4 linked regions of the Drosophila melanogaster genome follow. The protein of the gene in region 2 interacts with the protein of the main gene of each other region in a pairwise test. Each region holds a gene or a part of one and is shown on either strand. Other genes may lie near its edges.

Region 1 (4,033 bases), on a different chromosome or scaffold from region 2:
TGTTTCAGAGTTTCGTCGAGGCCATCTATCCACAGATAAGGAATAATCATCCCGCCGATCCAGAGGCCATGCAGAAAGTGGACAGCGCCTTTGGCCACCTGGACACCTTCCTGGAGGACCAGGAGTATGTGGCTGGCGACTGCCTCACCATTGCCGACATTGCCCTGTTGGCCTCCGTTTCCACCTTTGAGGTGGTGGACTTCGATATAGCCCAGTATCCAAATGTGGCCAGGTGGTACGAGAATGCCAAGGAAGTGACTCCCGGTTGGGAAGAGAACTGGGACGGTGTACAGCTAATCAAGAAACTTGTCCAGGAGAGGAATGAATGATTTGATGAGAATGTCTGCAGTAAATGCCCAACATACCACATACCTCGGCAAATTATTGCCAAACATGGTTATATTGTATTGTAGTTAAACAAATAAATCGCATTGTTATGAGCACCGTGATAATAAATTATTATCTCAAACAAACAAAGCTTTCATTTCTTGTTGAAAAGCTGCTCCATATATGGGGGTTTCTTATAAAACAAACGAAAGGCATTTATTTGTTCACTCTCTTATCAGCAAATATTAATTACTTTTGCTTTTCGGCTTGAAATGTTGATAGGCGGTACCCTTATTATTTTTATTATTATTTTTTAATCGTATTTTAAATATTTAAGTAGTTCGTCCCACTAAAATGATAAAAATTTATATAAATGATAAAAGCGATTATGCAACAGTAGTTTTGTCCTGATCACACTAATCAGCCTCCACTTATATTTAAAATTCCAATCTCTGTCATGGTTCATAAAAGTGAGATTGTGTTTCTGTAGCTCTGTAAATTCCGCGAGTGCCACACGACAATTGCCAATTGCGATTTCAACACCGCAGTTGAATGCACGCGATGATTTCACTGGGGTACATATAAATCCACTTGGACCCCTTTTCGCCCCTCGAGGGATCCACAAGCCACTTGGGCCATTGACCGACCAACTATTAGAACAATCGCGAGTTCAGTTAGCTAACAAACGTGCTGCTTGTGGCATTGAGCGGTTACAAACTACATATGCAAGTGCACACATACTTCTCATTGGTCATTGTGCGCCAACAAATCCACCAGAGGGTTGCCACAGAAGTTCCAAAACAATTTAAAGCTAATAATCAATAGACAAATCAAACGATTATATCATAAGTCGTGTATGTAAACACTTTTTGCGAACCATTTTTTGAATCGTGTTTATATATTTCACTAACAAATTTGCAACACAAAATCTCAACACCTTTTAAGAACCCCTTGCGACAGAAAAAAGTGAAATCATGTTTTATAGCATCATTAAAAGTATATTTTGCATTCCACCTAATTTACGAGCCAGCACTAAACCTACACCCATTGCGCCATCCCTAGTTGGTCAACTCGGTCACCGCCTCCGATGCCTCCACCAGCTTCTGCAGTTGCTTGTACTTCCGGATGGCGTTGCGCACGAATTCCGTTGCCCGACGCACTCGTTCCGGAGTCATCTCCTCGGCCAGCATGCGACCCACATCCTGGGCACCACCCGTCCGCAGGATATTCACAGCACGGGCGGGTATTTCACAGATTGGAGTGATCCTGCACAGGGCACTGGTGATGGCACCGCCAAAGAGGATGATGCCCACGGCGGAAACCACAACGGCAGCGATGCGAAAGAGCGTGGACATCAGGATCGTGGGCAGAAGATTGGAGACAAATGTCATCAGTGGATTCGAGGAGTTGGGCTGGGCAGTGGGAGCCAGGACAGTGGTGCTGTCCGATTGTCCTGCGGTATTAGTGGGCACCAGGAATCCCTCGTAGCCCGTCTGCACCACAATGGGTCCAGGGTACGGGTAAATGCCAGCTGCTGTTCCCGCAACAGGAGCAGGATAGGAGTAAGGAGCATACGCTCCATACTGACTCAGGTACTGCTGAAAGGCCTCGGGAGTGAGTAGGCCTCCAGCGTAAATGGTGGTGGGATCAATGCTGCTACCACTGGCCACGTTGTCTGGCTATTATATCAGGATGGAATTATTAGATTATTATAAATATAACACAGTAAAATTGTATATAAAACTTACCACCGCTGCTTCCGAGTTTCCTTCAGCCGGAGGAGTGGTACCATTGCTGGCTGCAGGTACCACGTCTGTGGGTGCGACAACTGGTTCGCCACTGCCCTCGACCAGATTTTCCGACTCTTCCACGGTGTTGGGTGTGGCAGCCGGAGGAGCTGCGTCCAAAGCTGGCACACAAAGCGATCCACGGATCATTAGCAGCAGAACCAACAGGACATGGAAACTGCAGTCTTTGAGGTACTTCATCTTCGCTTGGGTGTGGAAAAACAACTGATCCTGGCCCAGACACGATCGATTCTTTTAAAGCCTCGTCTAGTTCGGCCATTTTAGTCCTTGTTTTGCAATTAATGTCACAAATTCTGGGAATCCTAAAGATCCCACTTCTTTTCTAATCCCTAACACAAAGCAATTTTCCATACCTTACCTGCTTGTAAGGGTTCAGGTAGAAGATGCCTTGGCCGTGGGACACCGTCACGTGAAACATTTATGTCCTGGCTAATTACCACTGTGCCGGCCGTGTCCTTGAGTGGCCCTAAGAAATGTCAAGCACGCGATGAAGTCGTGACTGTCGAAAAATGTTTGATGCAAACACGTTGAGTTTCAAGTGATGCCAATCAAAACACCCCCCACCACTCAGTCAACTTAATCAGGTGCTCTGAATTGGAAAATCTGTTGGCAATCAATAAAAGGAAAAGCATAGCTTGGCACATAATGTAGACATATAATTTTAGACACGAATGTGAGCATTTTGGCTGAGTTTTCGGGACCGCCAACGAGCACCTCCCCCCACCACCCAACCCACATCAGCCACCAGTCCTTTTCGACCAGGTGAACACTGAGGCGGACTGTCGTCCATGGCAACGTTCGTTATGAAAACTAAACGAAAACAAATGCGCCCAAAGACAGCGACGACAACGCTGGCGAGACAACATGCTCTGGAAATTGGAAAAGTCAGATAGCGGATACATCGGTGAACAGAGTCGTCGGCAAGTTGGGACAGCTGAGACAGATTCCATCACCGCATAGAGTGGCCCACGCACCAGCCACCGGAGCAGCAGTAGCAGTAGCAGCATCAGTGTCAGTCATAGTCCTTTGGCGAGCTCCGGCATACGTGGACGCGGCAACACTCGACGGCATACTGGGTAACTGCATCGACATCGACTCGGTGGCCGTGGTGCAGCACAAGCTGGTGCACCGAATTGTGTGAGTAGTAGGAGTGTCCAATGGGTCGGTTCGGCTGGTCCAACGCCTTCTGTGCATATTCCATAATGAATAAATAAGTGAGTGCAATTAAGTGTTGGCCACAGCACAGCGATTACCATTTCCAGATAGGAGGGTGCCTCAGGGAACGGGTCTCGAATCGGGAATTCCCTGTATGAATTAATCATAATTTATTAAAATTATCTCCGCTGTTTTGTTACAAAAATATTAGGGAGCATTATATACATATATTTATCAGCACAAGCTTACATTTTACATTTTACACTTACCTTTTTATATATTTATTTATTTAGAAGCGATGAATTTTACACTTACCTAAGCATTTTACATTTGTTAACAAAATCGTTGCATACATTTAGGCTGATCGTTTAGTGACACAACCTTCAACAGCGATATTTAAATATTTATTATTTGAAGACTGTTGTAATCTTTTTAATTCCATTAAGAACACATTTTCCAATTGTACTACCATGCTATCATTTTATTCGGTTTACCTTTAAATTTACTTAATAATAAAACTACAGTACTTAATAGCCTTGCTGCCAACTTTTTGCAAGTTCTCAAAAGACCACGCCAAGAACAATTGGCATTAATTAACTATAAATATATAGTCGAATAAAATCGATGCATTGATTATTTGCCGCTGACCGCCAAGAGGCAACTTTTTTGGGCCTGCGTGTGGCCGGTAACCTGGCATTCCAGTTCCGGCCAATGTCCGACACGAAGCGTATTGTAACTGAATT
Region 2 (5,338 bases):
AGCAAACCACATTACATAACGTAAAGGGCAATATGCAAGCCAAACTCAGTTTAAATCTATGTTTAAAGGAGGAAGCGGGAGAACCCAGATCCATATATCATGTGCTAGAATTTCTCCGTAGTTTTAATGCCTATTTTCTTATTTAACAATCTAATATTCCCCTATTATTATATTATAAACATACCATACAATATTGATGGCTGCACTACACAAACATGTTTACAATGTGCTATGTTCATAGTTTTTAGTTAGGTCTTTTCTAAAACAACTTTAAAGATGTATTTAATTTTATGACAAGAAATTTATATTTTAAAGAAACTTTTTAAGTTTTTCTACAAGCAAAGCCCACAAAACTTTCGAAAAAATCTATATATGTATATGGTATACAAAAGAGAGAAACACATAAAAGAGTGTATAAAATGAAAAAGAAACAAAATACCGATTTGAACTAATAAAAAGTACTAAGGAAAATCGTAGAAATATGCCTGTTTTTAAATTATAAACAATTAAAAAGGAAGAGAAAAGTGCATTCCAAAATGTTCTTTATTTTGAGATAGGCTTGTGTGAAAATGTAAAAAATATTCAACGTTTAATTTAGACATGGTGCACGCGGCCGATGTTGAAAGGAGGACCTTGGTTATTCCGTTGATAGTTCCGATGACTATCCACACAGCCAGCCTTCCACCGCCCACTGTATGGAGAGCTGAAGTGTGGCGAGGCAGTCGGAGAATAGCCCGGCATGGTTGAAACCTCTTGCCTTGGGCATTTCCAGGGTGCAAACGTAGAAGGCGGAGCACAGCTTCCCAAACTCACAGCCGTGCCGCCGGAATTTCGCGTGCTATTGGACGATCTGTCTTGCCTTTCCTTTTGCTTCGGCTTCGGAGGAATCTTCTCCAGCTGAGCAGCAGGGGAGTTGCTGCAACAGCAACCGCACGGACTGCAGCAGTAATTGCAGCAATTACGACAGCCATTGCAGCAATTCGCGCAGTAGTAGTAACAGCCGGTGCAGGGATTATAGTACCAGGACCAAGGACATTGGTTCGAGCAGGGCATGCAGCAGGTATTTACTGGAGCTGGAGCATGATTGCAGGGTACTGGTGGAGGATTCGAGGGTGCTGGTGGAGGATTCGAGGGTGCTGGTGGAGGATCTTCGTTTTCCCTGCGAAACGCATTAATTACTCCTTGATGGAAGTGGACAGAAGTGGGTACTCACTCAGGCAAATTGGCAGAGCAGCCGCAGGTGCGCATTTCTTTTGTCGGAGGCGTTGGACATGGTTTCTTGCAGTTACACGGGCAGTGGGCATCCTCGTCTTCTGGTGTTTCCTGTGGTGATGCTACGGTACCTTCTATTTCGTTGCTGCTGTGCTCGCTCATCTTGTTCTTGACTTTTGAGCCATTCGATTTCTTATTCTTCTTGGCAGACGGTTTCGCTTGCTTTTTGCTCTTGTCCTTGTCCTTCGGCATCAGGAGGTGACACCACTTCTGCAGGTCACACGGAGGACAGGACTCGGTGAGGCTGCAATGGATACGGAAGACATTACTTCGTGTTCGATTAAAGATGTGTGCCGAATGGTGGATTGAGTAAGCCTAATTCGAGAGCTGTAATAGCTCACGAACTCTGACATTAAACTCACCGGCTGAGAAGCTCAAGGCAATTCTTTTCCTGCGTCTTCTTTTTTCCAGAGTTCACATTTTCTTCCGGTGGACAATCAGATTCTTCGGAAACGTAATGAGGATAGTATTGATTGTTGGGATCGAACCGAGTGCAGCAGCATTTAGTGGATTTCTCCTTCGATGGTTTAAAGCTTGATGGAACTTTATTCGAATTTTTATCCTTTTTGGGTCCTGCCTTCGATAAGTTTGGTGCACTTGCTGCTTGCGTTCTATTCACGTCATGTCCTGGCTGAGCATAAAAAGGATTATGGTCTTGGACAAATGTGGCATTAAGTGGAGCGCATTCATTGTACGGATAATACTGATTGGATGGATCAATGCCCATGCCCACCCTCTGCTGGTCATAAAGTACGGGTTGTCGATTGGTAGGTGCTCCTACAGATTTATTACGATTTCTTGAATCGTACGATCTGTTGTTATCACGAGAACGCACTTCACCAGCGGATGCCATTGACTTGGGCGCGGACCTATGATCTACATTTCTATCTCCACCACTATTAGAATGATAATTGGTTGTGGCTCTACTGGCTTGTGGTTTTCCGGAACGACCTTCCCTCGACTCATTTCGGTGACTGAGCGACTTGGACCTCTGAGCACCTGGACTAGCATGAACATTTTCAGGAAAATTATTATTGGCATAAGCTCTGCCTGATCGATCTCCCCTAGATGGGCTTCGTTGATTTGGAGATTTAGATCTGTTGTTACCATGAGGCAGTTGCCCCTTTGATGACTCCAATTGGGGAACTGGCCTTGAATGTGTGGCTTGACTCTGCTGGTTATAGACTTCAGATCTGTTAGCACCAACATGAACTTGATTCGTTGATTGGGGAACAGTATAGCTATAATTCTGATTGTTGGGCTCACAGTTCATTGGTTGATTATTTCGGCCATAAGCTGGTGCACTTCCTCCTGAGGTAGGAGTGACTGGCATTTGATTTATTGGACGTTGTTGGAATGTTGCATCGAATGGAATATACTGACTATTGGGGGCACAGCTCATGCCTAAACCCTGTATAAATTGATTATAGGAAGGTACTTGCGCCGTTCCTTGTGGCCTTCCAGGTGGCATTTGGCGATCTCCGCATTGGTAGACTTCTCCGGTACAGGGATTAAACTTATTTGTGTACTGTGTGGGTAGACCTGCCGCTGGAATAGATCTTGGATCACCCTGACCTACCGAGGATGGTGGAGCCACTGGTAGAACTATGGGACCAGGTACACCAAAGCCTCCATATTGAGTCGGTGGCGGGATACCAAAAATCATTGGATTTCCTGTCGGTCCGTAAGTTCCATAACACGGAATAATAGTCGGTTGTCCCGGTTGGAAGCCAAAGCCTGTTCCGTAGGCTCCAGTTCTAGCTAGATCGTCTTGCGCGCAATCTTCAGGATTCTTGCATCCATTCTTACCATCTTGACATGGATTCTCACAACTCTCCGCACATGCATCCATGTTTAAACACGGATCCTTACAATTGTCCCCACAGGCTGAGCAACTTTTCGATCGTTTCCTTTTCTTTGGGCGCTCTGGCGTCTTTAGAAGAAAACTGGGCGGCACCATGTCCGAAAACTTTTGGAACTCCCCAGAAAACACGACGCGACAATTCCTCATATTAGAGGAACAAGATCGCTCACAGCAACTTGGTCGAGGACAGCACCTGCGGATGAGTATAAATGCAATTGGGTTGAGACACTAACTATATTCTTATACTTACCAGCCATTGCCATGGCAGCTTATGCACCTCCTTAAATATCGACATGGATCGCACATTTTCAACTCCTGGTTCTGTTTAAAAGTCCACCTTCACTCATGGTCAATTACGAAGAGTACACAAACATAACATCGGTAGTCAAAATCATAAAAAAGTAGAAGTAAATGGTACAATTTATATTTTTGATGTCCTAAACTAAGACTATATTGTTAAAATCATTGCATGATCAGTTGTGATAAAACAACGTTTTGAAAGTGGTGCTACCATCTTCATATATGTGTTCTTTACAGATTATAATATGATATGAATATAAGAGAAACCTTGTAAACAAAAAGACTTCCTTGGTTTATTTAACTTACTATTTATGTCGACCAAAACTCTCTTTTTAGTTTTGGTCAAAAAAATGACATTACAAAATTCTTTGTCACGCCAAAAAACAAATTTAAACGGAAGCATTGTATAACTGAGACAAAAAATTGTATTTGGGAAAAAAGAAGAAATGCCCAATGACGGAGTCAAGTCAACCAGGCCCAGTCCCTATTGGCGTCATGCGAGTCCTCCTCCGAGGAGGAACATAGCATCGGAGCAATACAGCAATCGAGTCGGACAGCAGCTGGTGCGAGCCCTGGCTCAGAGCTTACCGTCTGGACAGGAAGCCGTGCGTTCCCGATCATCCTGCCCACCAACACCTCGTCGTCGCCGGCAGGCAAGTGTCTGCAGATCGATGGGAAGTCCAGAGTTTGTGCCATTGATGTCGCACAGTAAGCCCAAGGCATCGGTTCGATTGAAGGCGGGTATGCCGGTGAAACCAGTGTTGGGAGGAGATCCACCCAATTCAAAGACTCCTGGTCAGTCTATGATGGCCTCAGCCAAACGTCGCAATGAATCCCCCACAGTGAAGGCAAAAAGCAGGGAAGAAGAGTTCAATAAGATACCAGAGCTGGTTAGTGAGGCATCCGTCGCCAAGGCCAGAGAAAAAGAGTTCGAAAAGATACCTTCCGGAGTTCCGAGTTTGACCGAAGAAAACAAGCAAACAGAAGTGAAAGACACAAATAATTCAATCCCGGAAACGCATGAGAACTTGAAACCGGAAACGAAAACCAATTTTATAATAGAGGAAGAAAAGCCCACAGAATGTATACCAGAAACGGAACCGAAGCCATCGAACTCGAAGATAATTCCCTGCTTTCGAGGAGAGTATCCCACACGACATCGTCCTGGTACTTGCCAATGGTTTCAATCCGACGTCCCCAATTGCGGAAATATCGTGACCATATGCGATGAGGAACACCAAATTATGGGTGAAGCGGAAATAGTCACCGCTTGCCAGGTTACCGAAGCACATTTCCTCAGCCTCGATTGTGAAAATGATAACATGAACAACGAACCGCCATCGATTTCGAGGTGCAATAAGTGCACGGGTTGTCCGCAGCAACAGAATGGTAATTGGTTTGGACAGCAACGATCTTGTCCTCAGCAGCAACAACCTTGCTTTCAACAGCAACAACCGTGCTTTCAACAGAAACCATCTTGCTTGCAGCAGAAACCATCTTGCTTGCAGCAGAAACCATCTTGCTTGCAGCAGCAACCATCTTGCTTCCAGCAACAGCAACGAAATTGTGGACGAAATCCACCCTGTCCCAATGTGAAACCAAAAGGATGTCTCAAGTGTCAGGAGCAGCAGCAGTCTGGCAAAGCATTTGCATACAATTTGCAGCAGTCGATGCAGCAGCAAGTTCTGCCGCAGATGCAGAATGTGTATCCTTGTCAGCAGCTTCAGCAAGTGAATACCTGTGATCAAATGGAACAACAAATGCAACAGCAAGGCATTGAGGAGAACAACTATGGCCTGACCGAAATGCTGGCCGAGGAGCTAAGAAAGCAAATGCTCGAGGCTCAGGCGCAGATTGCACAAGTGCAACTGCAGTTGAATAGCGCGTGTGGAGCCACAAGAG
Region 3 (5,994 bases), on a different chromosome or scaffold from region 2:
AATCGAAGCGCCATTCGCCGGTCTGGAAAGCCTTTTGCTGCCCGCAAAGAGGCCAAATGCCAAGCCGGCCGCGGTGGTGGAGCCCAGGATGTCGGAGGTGAAGGCATCAGTCGAAGAATCTCCAGTAGGTAAGCCTGCGGAAGCGATATCCACGATACCCGACGAAGTTATTCAGGCTGCTCCCGAAAAGAGCAACGTTTTAGTATAATTACATTTAAAATATATGATTTCATGCGTTACGTAAAGTATTAAAACTGTGTTCGAAATTCATTGTACGGTAAGCGATTCCGATATTCTTGATCAGAATCACTGGACGAGTCGATACTTCCATGTCCATCCATATGAACGCAGATACGCCTACTTTTATTATTTGGCTTGCCCATTTCTGTCGATCTGCCCACAACATGTTGGCCCCGCCCACTTTAAGCATCCAAAATACAAGTTTAAAATGTTAATAAATACGTTTCGATTGGTTTGTCAATCGATTGATTTTATCGTTTTATCAGAGCAAATTCTCCAATTTCCTGACTATAAACATAGCATTTCGTCACTACGCAGATGAAAGTCAAGACACATGGTCAGCAAAGTGGGGAAGTCAAGTATACAAATACAAATACGTAATCTATGGAATGTAAATTATCAACAGATTTGGCTCTTATCAAACTGAAAAACTTGTAAACGCTTTGGTGCATACATATCTGATAGTCGAGACACTAGACAAAGTCGTTCCTTCTGTTTTTTTTTTGTGTTTCTTTTCTTTTTTTCTGTAACTGAATGGGGCGTGCATCGCCTCTGTGAGTCAGAATTGAAATCTTTGTGTGCCCATTACAGCAAGCCAAAGTCGGGAATCACCTTCATGACTAATTCGAAACCCACCTGGTCGCAAAAGTCGCAACCAGATAACGACTGATATCGTCTTAAGTGCAAGACTTTTCAACTCAAGGACCATTCATTCCATCGTAACTCTAGACCCGTGGTTAAGTTAATTGTGCCTAGATTACAAGTAGTTCGTTTTAATAAAGGCTAAATAGGAGCTGATAAGTCTAATTTGATAACTCGAGGTCAGTCTCTGTTTTGTTGGCACTCGTTTCCAGGTCAGGCTGGATATCACTGCGCTTCTCGTGCTGCACCACCTGATCCATCCCGTCCATGTGATCCATCTGGTCCATCTGGTCCACGACTTCCGTTCGGGACTCGATATGCAGCTGATCCTTTGCTGCTGGCGGGCTTCTGCGATTGGGAAACATAATTCTTTCCAAGGCCTCCAGAGGCGCCTCAATTAAAACGTAGAGCACGTAGGACATCAGCAGGGTAAAGCCAAAGGTGGACCAAAAGTTGAGCATCTATGGAGTTGGAAATGAAGCGTTCAAGTCCAATAGGAATGTCGAGTGACCCTGCCTGCCACACACTTACCACTTGATAGTTGGAGAAGTACGTATTGGTCTGAACGCTTCTATTGGCGACTTCCACGACAAAGATGTGCCAGATGTAGGCGCCGTAGGAGAGCTTGGACAACGGCTGCCAAAGTGGAGAGGAGAGGAAGCTGTTGGCCAGACTACCATAGCCCTGCATGCACGCAAAGACCACCCAGCAGAGACCGAGGGGCCAGGCGATCCGGACCAGTGTATAGTAGAGGGCTCCCTGCAACACTGAGGGCGATTTGCCCAGCAGCTTGGAGTACGGATACAAGGCGAAGATCGAGGTGAAGAGCGGGGCCAGGCAGAGCAGCCAGCCTGCCCAGGTAGCCAGGAGGCTTAACTTGAATCTTCGGCCGCGCATCAGGTGCAGGAGATAACCGAACATAGTACCGACCAACCAGGGCGCCGCATGGGTATGCGTAGCGGTGTAGATCTTCCTCTGAACCACCTGAGCCTGAATTCCATTCCTGTTAGTAATTGCAATTAGCATTGGGGGACACAAAACGGCGGGCGCGACTGGCTTACTTGAACATCACAGGGAAGTCATTCACCATTATGGTGGCAAACAGGCAGGCGGAGAGCAACAAAGTGACCACCAGGATACCTCCGGCCGCCTTCTTGCCCCACTTGTAGAGGGCGATCAGCAGGATCGGGGACAGGATGTACAGTTGCATGTCCACCGCCAAGTACCAGGTATGCGGCACGCACTAAGGAGCAACCAACAATCAAATAATTAGATAGATAAATATACAGATATAGTCAAGAGCTCCAACTGCAATGGCAATGGTACCACCGAACTTACATAGATGGCGCCAACGATCAATTCTAGTGCTGCAGGCGCCATCTATCGAAGTGATCTCCTATTCGCAGTAAAGCCACTAAACACTTTTAATTATTGTAACTTCTAAGGTATATAAGGTTGATACAGATCCATCCTGATACGGACGGACTAGATGGGCTTGTCCACCTCTCCTGATCAACTTGGACATTCAACTCACCACATCGGATGTTGCGTAGTTCTGCACGTAGAGCAGAGTCCAGTACCAGGTCATCTTGCACCCGGAGTAGTCGAAAAAGCCGATATCATCGTACATTGGGCCGTCTGCGATGAGGGGTATCATCTTGTAGAATGCCAGTATGGCAACGGCTACGATCGGAGTGAGGCGCAGATATCGGTGCAGATACATCAGCGGCACATTTAGCTTTCCCTTGTTTCTGGAGCCATTGAGAATGTTAGCCTGCCTACAGATCGGATTAATCCCTGTACAAGTTGACTCACTTTTCTATGCTTCGCAGGCCAATTGAAACCAGCAGCAAGCCGCTGATGAAGAAGAACGTGTCCACCGACAAGGTACCGTAGAGTATGAAGCTCGAGAAGAGTTGCGTCGCCCATCGCAGGTTGTCCGCTGGATTGATGGCGGGACCCTTCATGTTGATAATGTACTCATGGCTCAAGATTACCCAGATCAGGGACATGCACCGCATGCCATTGAGACAGTGGATTACATTCGGATTCGCCGTGTTCTCCACAATGGTGAACAGCGAACGCGAAGTGGCACGGGCTGAGAAGGCGCCGATGGGACGGGGTAGCTTTTCTGCGGGTAGACATGGATATATGGTACATATACATACATATAGGCTGTTATCCGATTTATGTCAGCTACTTACCCTGCTCCGGACACAAGAAGTAGTCGTAGAGGGTGCACAGGATAACCGTGACACCAAATACGGACAGTAGAACGCTGATGGTAGTCAGTTAGTATGGATAGATCAGCTAGGATGTATCAAGACACTACTCACACTGTGAATATGGTGAGCCCATCCCAGGGTGCTTTCTCCTTGATTCTGCACGACGTCTCGCTGATGGAAAACAAATTGGTCGGATCACTGACGCCAAGCAGCCGCTTGAGCAGTTGCTTGAGGAACAGCTCCATGGTGCCCGCCGAGCAAGAGGAAGGCAGGCACACAGCAGTCCTTATGTTGGTCACCGCCAGCAGCTCAGAAGTGAAACCCAACCACTTGGCAACCGGCAGCTCCATGAAGCAGTACTTTCCCTGGATGTCCTGCGATGAGGTGAGCATTCCGCCCTCGGACAGGCACTCCCTGTAGTTGCCCATGTCGACGCGGTTGCCAATGAGATATCCCGATGGAATGGTGCCCCACGCGTCGAGCACTTCGCATAGAAGGGATAAACTCAAATGGCATCAAAGTTGAAGATGTTGTAATACCCACTTTTTAGGGCCCACGCCTTGGGCGCACTAAGCGCACTCATAAACTGGGCCATATCGGCCAGGCACTGTAGATCTTGTGATCCAATCCGCTCACCCAGAAGATGCACATCCGCCGTTGAAATGTTCCGAAATTCGCGATAGAACTCCATTGCCAGGGAGCGCAGATCCAGGAGCCGTTCGTAATCCGCCATGGAGGACACATCGTGTTGTGTCCATTGATTATTTGATAGTTGGGTCGGCAGCGCTCCTTGGACCATCGCCATTCCCATGGCAAGCAATATAGCCAATAGCTTGATCATCTTTCGCCTGGAGCTCCTAGTTTACGACTGTTTAGCGAATCACCCTTCCCTGGCCCATTTATACACAGGCAAATCCTGCTGTGCATTTCCCATTCGAAATCGAGAATTCATTATCTCATTATCTGCGCCTCCGACAATAGAATAGTTACCAATAATCGGAGGCATAGCTACCCTTGGTAATCAGGGCAGCGAACTCTTAACGTGGCTAATACTATTGCGATTCGGATGAATACCCGGAAAGATAAGCCGCTGGATTTGGCTGTTTCGGTAGCATCTCTACCTTGTCGAATTTCCCGAGAATACTTAACTTAACTTAGCTGCTGATTAAAAGGCGATTTGGCTTTCCATACAACATGACTAATGGTATTCAAACGAAATGTTCAGCAAATTGTTGCTCAGTTGTCTGTCGTTTTTTTTTTTTTTTGTGTCTGCAATTCCGACATTTTTCGGGACAGAGATTTGTCCAGTTTTTGATTTTGACATGCAATACTTATTTCTCGATATCCTGTGTTTTCCAGGTTTTCCCAGCTTTTGCTGGAAAATGGAAATTCGAACGAGTTTTCACTTTCGTCTAGGTTCCCAGCCAAAAGTGGAGGGGTGTGGCACCGACTGGTTTTCGTATGAATTTTGGACCAGATTCGCATTTTTTGGTTATGCAACAGCAATACATCAAGGTTACAGCGAGAAGGAACGCCAAATGCAACCGAACCGACTATCAGATACCCAGCATTGCCAACGCGAAAGTTAGTGTTTTGAATGGTACTTTTATATATGTATATAAGTAACTATGACTTAAATTAGATTATGCATAGTTGCCTATTTGAAAAGACCTGAACAACCGGTACAGCAGTCAAAATCTAATTTACATGCAGAACTCAGGCAGCAAGTGTCAAAACTTTGGTCAAAACTTTCGGAAAATCGAAGGTCTAAACTGGTTTTTCACCCAATTCCGATGCGAATGCGAATTGCAAACGAGAGTTGCTAACCATTGTCCAGTTGCGCCAATGCTTGAAAAACCAAAAGCTGTTAATTACTCTGGAAATGATTAAATATATCTTGAAAATCAAATGCAACAGCCGCAGCCAAACCGAAATTGAAATTCATATTATTATGAGAGCAAATCGTGACAGCCCCTCTTTTTCGGCACAGTGGTACAAACTTGACGAATTAGTCAACGAATTAGTAAGCGCCCACTGTTCGTAAAATCTTTCCCAATCGAATACACCTATAATATTCAGATAATCTTCATTGTTGAACATTTGAACTGTTTTGAGGAATGAGATTTGACACAAGTTCAAGTGAAATTGGTAGTATGTACATACATACGTTTGTATATGGTATATAACCACTTGAGTTTACAATTATAAAACAAGCAATCTATGAATGATTTCCCTATCTTATGGGAAACTTATCTGTGAATTATTGATATTTTGTTAGGGTTTTAAAACATGTAGATTCGTACTCGACACAGAACAATCTAAATAGTATAGATACTTAATGAGCTTGCAGATAGTTAGTTCCCTTGTGTATATCAATCCCTTATGTTGGAGGCAGCTCTACTATATGGTATATGCTATGTGTATGTATGGTATATATATAGGTGGGTATATGGAGTTCTAGTCCCACGGTGCGTGTTGTTTAGCCTCTTAAAATGCACTCGCCGCTAAGCATTATGCATAGTTCGAGCTGCACTTACGATCTATAAACTGGCGCAAAAGTAGTGCAAAAGTAATTGTTGCCACGCACTGAACTCGTTGATAACCGCCGGCAGTCGGCGGGGTCTGCGATTACGAGATCCAGGCGGACGGTCGCAGCTAACCCGTCTAACTAGTTGACTTTGGGGGGGCACTTAATCCGCGACGCCCAGGCCCGCGTGGCACCACTCCGTTGGAGTACAGGCAGGCGACTCCAGCGCTGACCAGCGCCAGTTCTGATTGGAACGGCCTTTCGAGCGGTACACACATACTCTTTGATCCGTCAGGATGAGGATGTTACGTCTGCAGTTGATGGCCCTGCTGTTGGTGGGCCTGCTCCTGGCGCTGATCT
Region 4 (4,455 bases), on a different chromosome or scaffold from region 2:
CATGCTTTAAAAAGTCGTACAAAACTAATTTATGGACAAAGAAATTTATTAATGAATTTAATCAACCTAATACCTGAAAACATTTGAACTTATTAATTTCATATCTGCCAAAAGTTAAATACATATATTACAAACAATTTTACTTGCCTAGCTGATAAGATTCAACAATTTACCATTGTATTTTGATAAATGATTTGAGTTGGCAATTTCATTCGATTGTCATTGAATTAATAGCTTATTTCAATATGATTTCACTTTTTTCATATCTTTGTCCATTGTTATTTTATAGAAAATCTAACAAAGCCGCAGACATTTCCAAGAACAACGGAACTATTTTGACAGCTAACAATAACGCAGTTTATTGTTTATACATTTAAATTTTTTGCTATACGAATTCTGCGAGATGATCTTATTAATACGGAAATCTACAGAGGTTCACTGCTTTTGTTTATTATTAAACATTTAAATTTTATTAACTGTATCAAAATCTCTAAATGAAACCCAAAAAGTAGTATTTTTAAATTGTTAGAAAACCCATAAAAGACTCATATTTTAATGTTATTTTTTTATTTTCTCGTGGTGTTGGCTTATTTATATATTATACTGTTCATAGGCGTAAATGTGAAAGGGATTTCGAGGAGTTCCAATTGACAGGATAATCGGACCTTTGTTGGTTCGCTCCTCAATTGCATCTCCATCCATAGGTGCGTTATCCTCCATCATATTCACTGGGTCCATCTGGTCCTCCATCATATGGTCCTCTTCCATCGCATCATCTCCTTCTGGTACCATATAGCTTGAATCCTCATCATCGATTTCTTCAGCGCCACTCGGAGATTCGGGATTCTCCACTGTGTTATCTGCATATTCAAGGCCGTAGTCCGCATCCTCGGGTTCCGTCTCCAAGTCATTGGGCTCATTGGACATTTCCTCCTCGCCCTCCATGAAATTATTTTCGTTATCATTTTCATCAATTATGTTTTCGACAATCTCCACATTTTCATCTAGCAAGTCCAGATCATCCCGTGGAGTTTGCTCGCCACTACCCTCTGGCTTAGTGGGTTTTGGTTGATGATGATGGGGGTGCTGGTGGTGTGAAGTTTGGCTGTGTCCTCCATTTCCGTGTGTACCAGTGTGGGGGTGTGTATTATGTGGGTCCTGCCCTCCGTGATTGTGTGAGGGATGATGGTGGCCATGTCCTCCGTGATTGTGAGGGGGATGATTATGGTTGTGCTCTCCATTGTGAGGTGGATGATGGTTGTTGTGTCCCCCGTGATTGTGCCCTCCGTGATTGTGGGGTGGATAATGGTGATAACCCTTGTCTCCGCCATCATGTGGATGGTGAGGTGGATATGGTGGCGGATAGGGGCCTGGATAATTGTGGCCTGGATGGTGATGGCCTCCATGGCCACCGTGGGGTGGATACGGATAGTAGCCTCCCTTATCGTGTCCTGGTGGATAATAGTGATGGTGGTGTCCGCCCTTGTCTCCCTTATGACCTCCTTTGTGACCTTTATCCCCCTTATGTCCCTTTGAGGGCCAGGGCACTGGCACTGGCAGAGGAATCCATGGTCCCGGATAAGGACCAGGTGGTGGATACGGGTACGGTGGGTATGGGTACGATGGTGGTGGAGGTGGCGGTGGTGGTGGTGGTGGTGGGGGTTGTGGATACGTAGTGCCTGGAGGTCCTGGAGGACCCGGTGGTCCCGTTCCTGCAAGAGATTAAATACTCAGTAAAATTTTGGAAAATGACTTATAATATATCCTTTCAATATTTTCACTGTTAGAGCGTTGTGATATATATGAGTAACGATTTTCTCTTACCTGGTGGGCCTGGAGGTCCGGGTGGACCTTTGGATCCCTTGTGGTGATGATGGTGACCATGTTCACCTTTCTGCGGTGGCAATGGTATGGGAACTATAATTGGTGGCGTCACGATCGGCGGGTGGGGATGATGTGAATGCGGGTGTGAGTGTGGTGGTGGTGGTGGTGGAGGCGGCGGAGGCGGAGGTGGAGGTGGTGGCGGTGGCGCTGGATGATGATGGTGGTGATCATGATGATCATGGTGACCATGTCCCGACTTGTGACCGGGTGGGCCTGGTAGTCCCGGTGGACCAATAGGTCCCGGTTCACCTGGTTGGCCTGGTAGTCCGTAGTGACCGCGTTCTCCCTTCTCTCCTCGCTCGCCCTTGGACCCAGTGTGTCCCTTGGGACCTTGCGGACCAGGCGTTCCTGGTAAGCCCGGCGGTCCAGGAGGCCCCGGTGGACCTGGCGGGCAATTGCAGTGCTGTGGCGGAGGCGGAGGCGGCGGCGGTGGTGGCGGATAGTAGTGCTGTGGTGGCAGCTTGTAGATCACACTTTGTGCTGGCGCCGGAGCCGGAGCAGCTTGTAGAGATGCTATCAGTCTGCCCGTCTCGGCACTCGGGTTCTTGGAATTCGCTAGGCCAAAGGCCCAGCCTGGAAAGGAAATGAATCCCAATTAGAAATCAGATCCATCCTATTTGAATCATATTCCTTACCTATCCAAAAAATCACTGCGAACAGCCTCATGGCGAAATGGTATCTGCTGCCTTTCTCCGGCGGACGGATCACTTTTATACCGCATTATGAACTCTTAATCTTGTATGCACACTTTGTTTAAATCACTTTCATTAATCTAGATTCACTAGAACCGTTATATCATGTCCATTCAGAAATCTGCTTGCCAAATCTCTCGGAAAATATGCAAACCTGTTCGCGATGATGCTATCATCCTGGGTTCTCTCTAAACTTATATATGTAAATTTATGTCCAATCCAAAAGTGAACCGCCTCTGAAGTATTAATATGTTAACTTCCATTTGAAAACAGAAGACATATGCAAAAAAGAACACATTCTCTGTTGCCGATTGTTTCGCTTTACGATTCGAATGAACCATGACTTAAAAATGGCAGAAAAAAGAGTTTTGTCTCTTAATTGGCCGTTTCTATCAACTTGTTCACACCTCGGTCGCGCGTCTCCATATGATTAACCCCGATGAATCGGAGCTATCCCAAAGTCAACGAAAGTGTAAAGGTTTTCGGACCCGGCATTTCTTTATCCGGGCCTATTGCATAAGAAGGGGTCGGGTCTGGATGGCATTGGGATTTGCCCTTGACTTCTTTTCATTTCCGTGAAATCTTACAAACATTATCAGGTCACTGAAAGTAAAGCTGATTGTTTAAATGGTAAGGGCTTTATTTCTGTACATCAGTTTGGGACATTATCATACAAGGGGGGGGGGGGGGGGAGGGGCTTTGCATTTACGTTTATGTTATTGATTAAGCTAAATGTATTTGTATTCAACTAGTTAAGCATAGATCCCACAGCAGCGGATTACTTCTTTCCGTAGTGAGACGGATCTACAGTGGCATATAGCTTTTGATCAATCCATTTGGTGAGGTCGACTTGTGGAATATTTGAGCACGGTATAATCGGATTCCTGTAATTTCAGAGCTCAGTTACTTTCCAAATAACCAATTTAATCAATTTAAACTTACGAATGGGAAACAGTCCGGAAAGCTTCGGGCTGCATGGATGAAATGTGGTTGCCATTGTCGCACAGCAAACGAGCCATACTGGCCTTCCTCAGCTCCTCCAGTTGATCTACGAAATTAGACATAAATAAATTAATATTTAAAATAGTCAGAGGAGAAATGTTCTTTTTACCAGGAGTAAATCCAGTGAGCTTGTCTCCGTTTTCGAAGAAGAAGCGATCGCCCACTCTGGTTCTGTAGAATTGTTCCGTGAGGATACACAGGAAGGTGGGTCCAGCCAAAGCTCCGGCCACATGCGCCTCCAAGGAGGCGCCCACAGTCAGATCCACGTCTTCGTGGCTCGGGTATAGCGACTTAAGTTTTTCCAGAATTGGTGGACTTATTAGATCACCGTATCCCTCCCACGAGTGGGCACGTCTCAGTCCGCAGAATTCCCGCATGTCATTGTAGGAAGCCAGACCGTGATCGCGATTACGCTGAATGTCCAGGGAACGCAGATCGGAACCGAAGGGCATGTTTCTTCTGAACAGGAAGTGCTTGATCTAAGCCAGGAAAGGTTGAGAGGTTAGAAAGGTGGTCTCATTTTGTTATTTGTGTACCCACCTGTCGGTCAAAATTGATATCAGTTAGCTCTTCGGGCTGCGTGGCGTGTCCTCTGGTCAGGGAATCAAAGTTATCTCCAACCTCAATAATACCGGGACGATTGAACCAGTCGCTGAGGGTCAGAGAGCCGAGAACTTGACGCAGCTCGGACAGTAGACTGCACAAAAATTTTAAAATTAATAAAATGTTCTTAACTCATAATAGTAAATAGGCACTTACTCCAAACGACCTTCAATCTGGGAATGGAAGTATCTGAAAGCGGCCGTCGCGTGCTCATTCAGCACCGATGGATCAATGTTGGGATCGAAATCGTTGATATAGCTTCCGGATGGAGCCT

Evidence for each region.
Region 1: the proteins of CG17666 (region 2) and CG10035 interact in a two-hybrid assay, tested with the Drosophila melanogaster proteins (one large-scale study listed by BioGRID).
Region 3: the proteins of CG17666 (region 2) and CG14204 interact in a two-hybrid assay, tested with the Drosophila melanogaster proteins (one large-scale study listed by BioGRID).
Region 4: the proteins of CG17666 (region 2) and CG5225 interact in a two-hybrid assay, tested with the Drosophila melanogaster proteins (one large-scale study listed by BioGRID).

What each region holds. Positions count from the first base shown.
Region 1 is NT_033777.3:12,380,346-12,384,378, forward strand, and holds CG10035 (uncharacterized protein), read right to left. Parts: upstream 2,347-4,033; 5' UTR 2,316-2,346; coding exon 2,076-2,315; intron 2,007-2,075; coding exon 1,386-2,006; 3' UTR 524-1,385; downstream 1-523. Other genes in the region: GstD8 (glutathione S transferase D8), read left to right, coding at 1-329; GstD11 (glutathione S transferase D11), read left to right, coding at 4,002-4,033.
Region 2 is NT_037436.4:12,779,566-12,784,903, reverse strand, and holds CG17666 (uncharacterized protein), read right to left. Parts: upstream 3,580-5,338; 5' UTR 3,443-3,579; coding exon 3,387-3,442; intron 3,330-3,386; coding exon 1,635-3,329; intron 1,601-1,634; exon of another isoform or gene 1,517-1,600; coding exon 1,214-1,516; intron 1,160-1,213; coding exon 595-1,159; 3' UTR 527-594; downstream 1-526. Other genes in the region: CG10969 (uncharacterized protein), read left to right, coding at 3,883-5,338.
Region 3 is NC_004354.4:19,581,596-19,587,589, reverse strand, and holds CG14204 (uncharacterized protein), read right to left. Parts: upstream 3,974-5,994; 5' UTR 3,949-3,973; coding exon 3,651-3,948; intron 3,592-3,650; coding exon 3,219-3,591; intron 3,161-3,218; coding exon 3,087-3,160; intron 3,014-3,086; coding exon 2,698-3,013; intron 2,634-2,697; coding exon 2,417-2,633; intron 2,126-2,416; coding exon 1,944-2,125; intron 1,886-1,943; coding exon 1,414-1,885; intron 1,344-1,413; coding exon 1,044-1,343; 3' UTR 533-1,043; downstream 1-532. Other genes in the region: CG14219 (uncharacterized protein), read left to right, coding at 1-208; CG14218 (uncharacterized protein), read left to right, coding at 5,931-5,994.
Region 4 is NT_033777.3:17,026,801-17,031,255, reverse strand, and holds CG5225 (uncharacterized protein), read right to left. Parts: upstream 2,564-4,455; 5' UTR 2,551-2,563; coding exon 2,520-2,550; intron 2,458-2,519; coding exon 1,825-2,457; intron 1,713-1,824; coding exon 592-1,712; 3' UTR 555-591; downstream 1-554. Other genes in the region: Pxd (peroxidase), read right to left, coding at 3,355-3,460, 3,519-3,624, 3,688-4,057, 4,119-4,275, 4,338-4,455.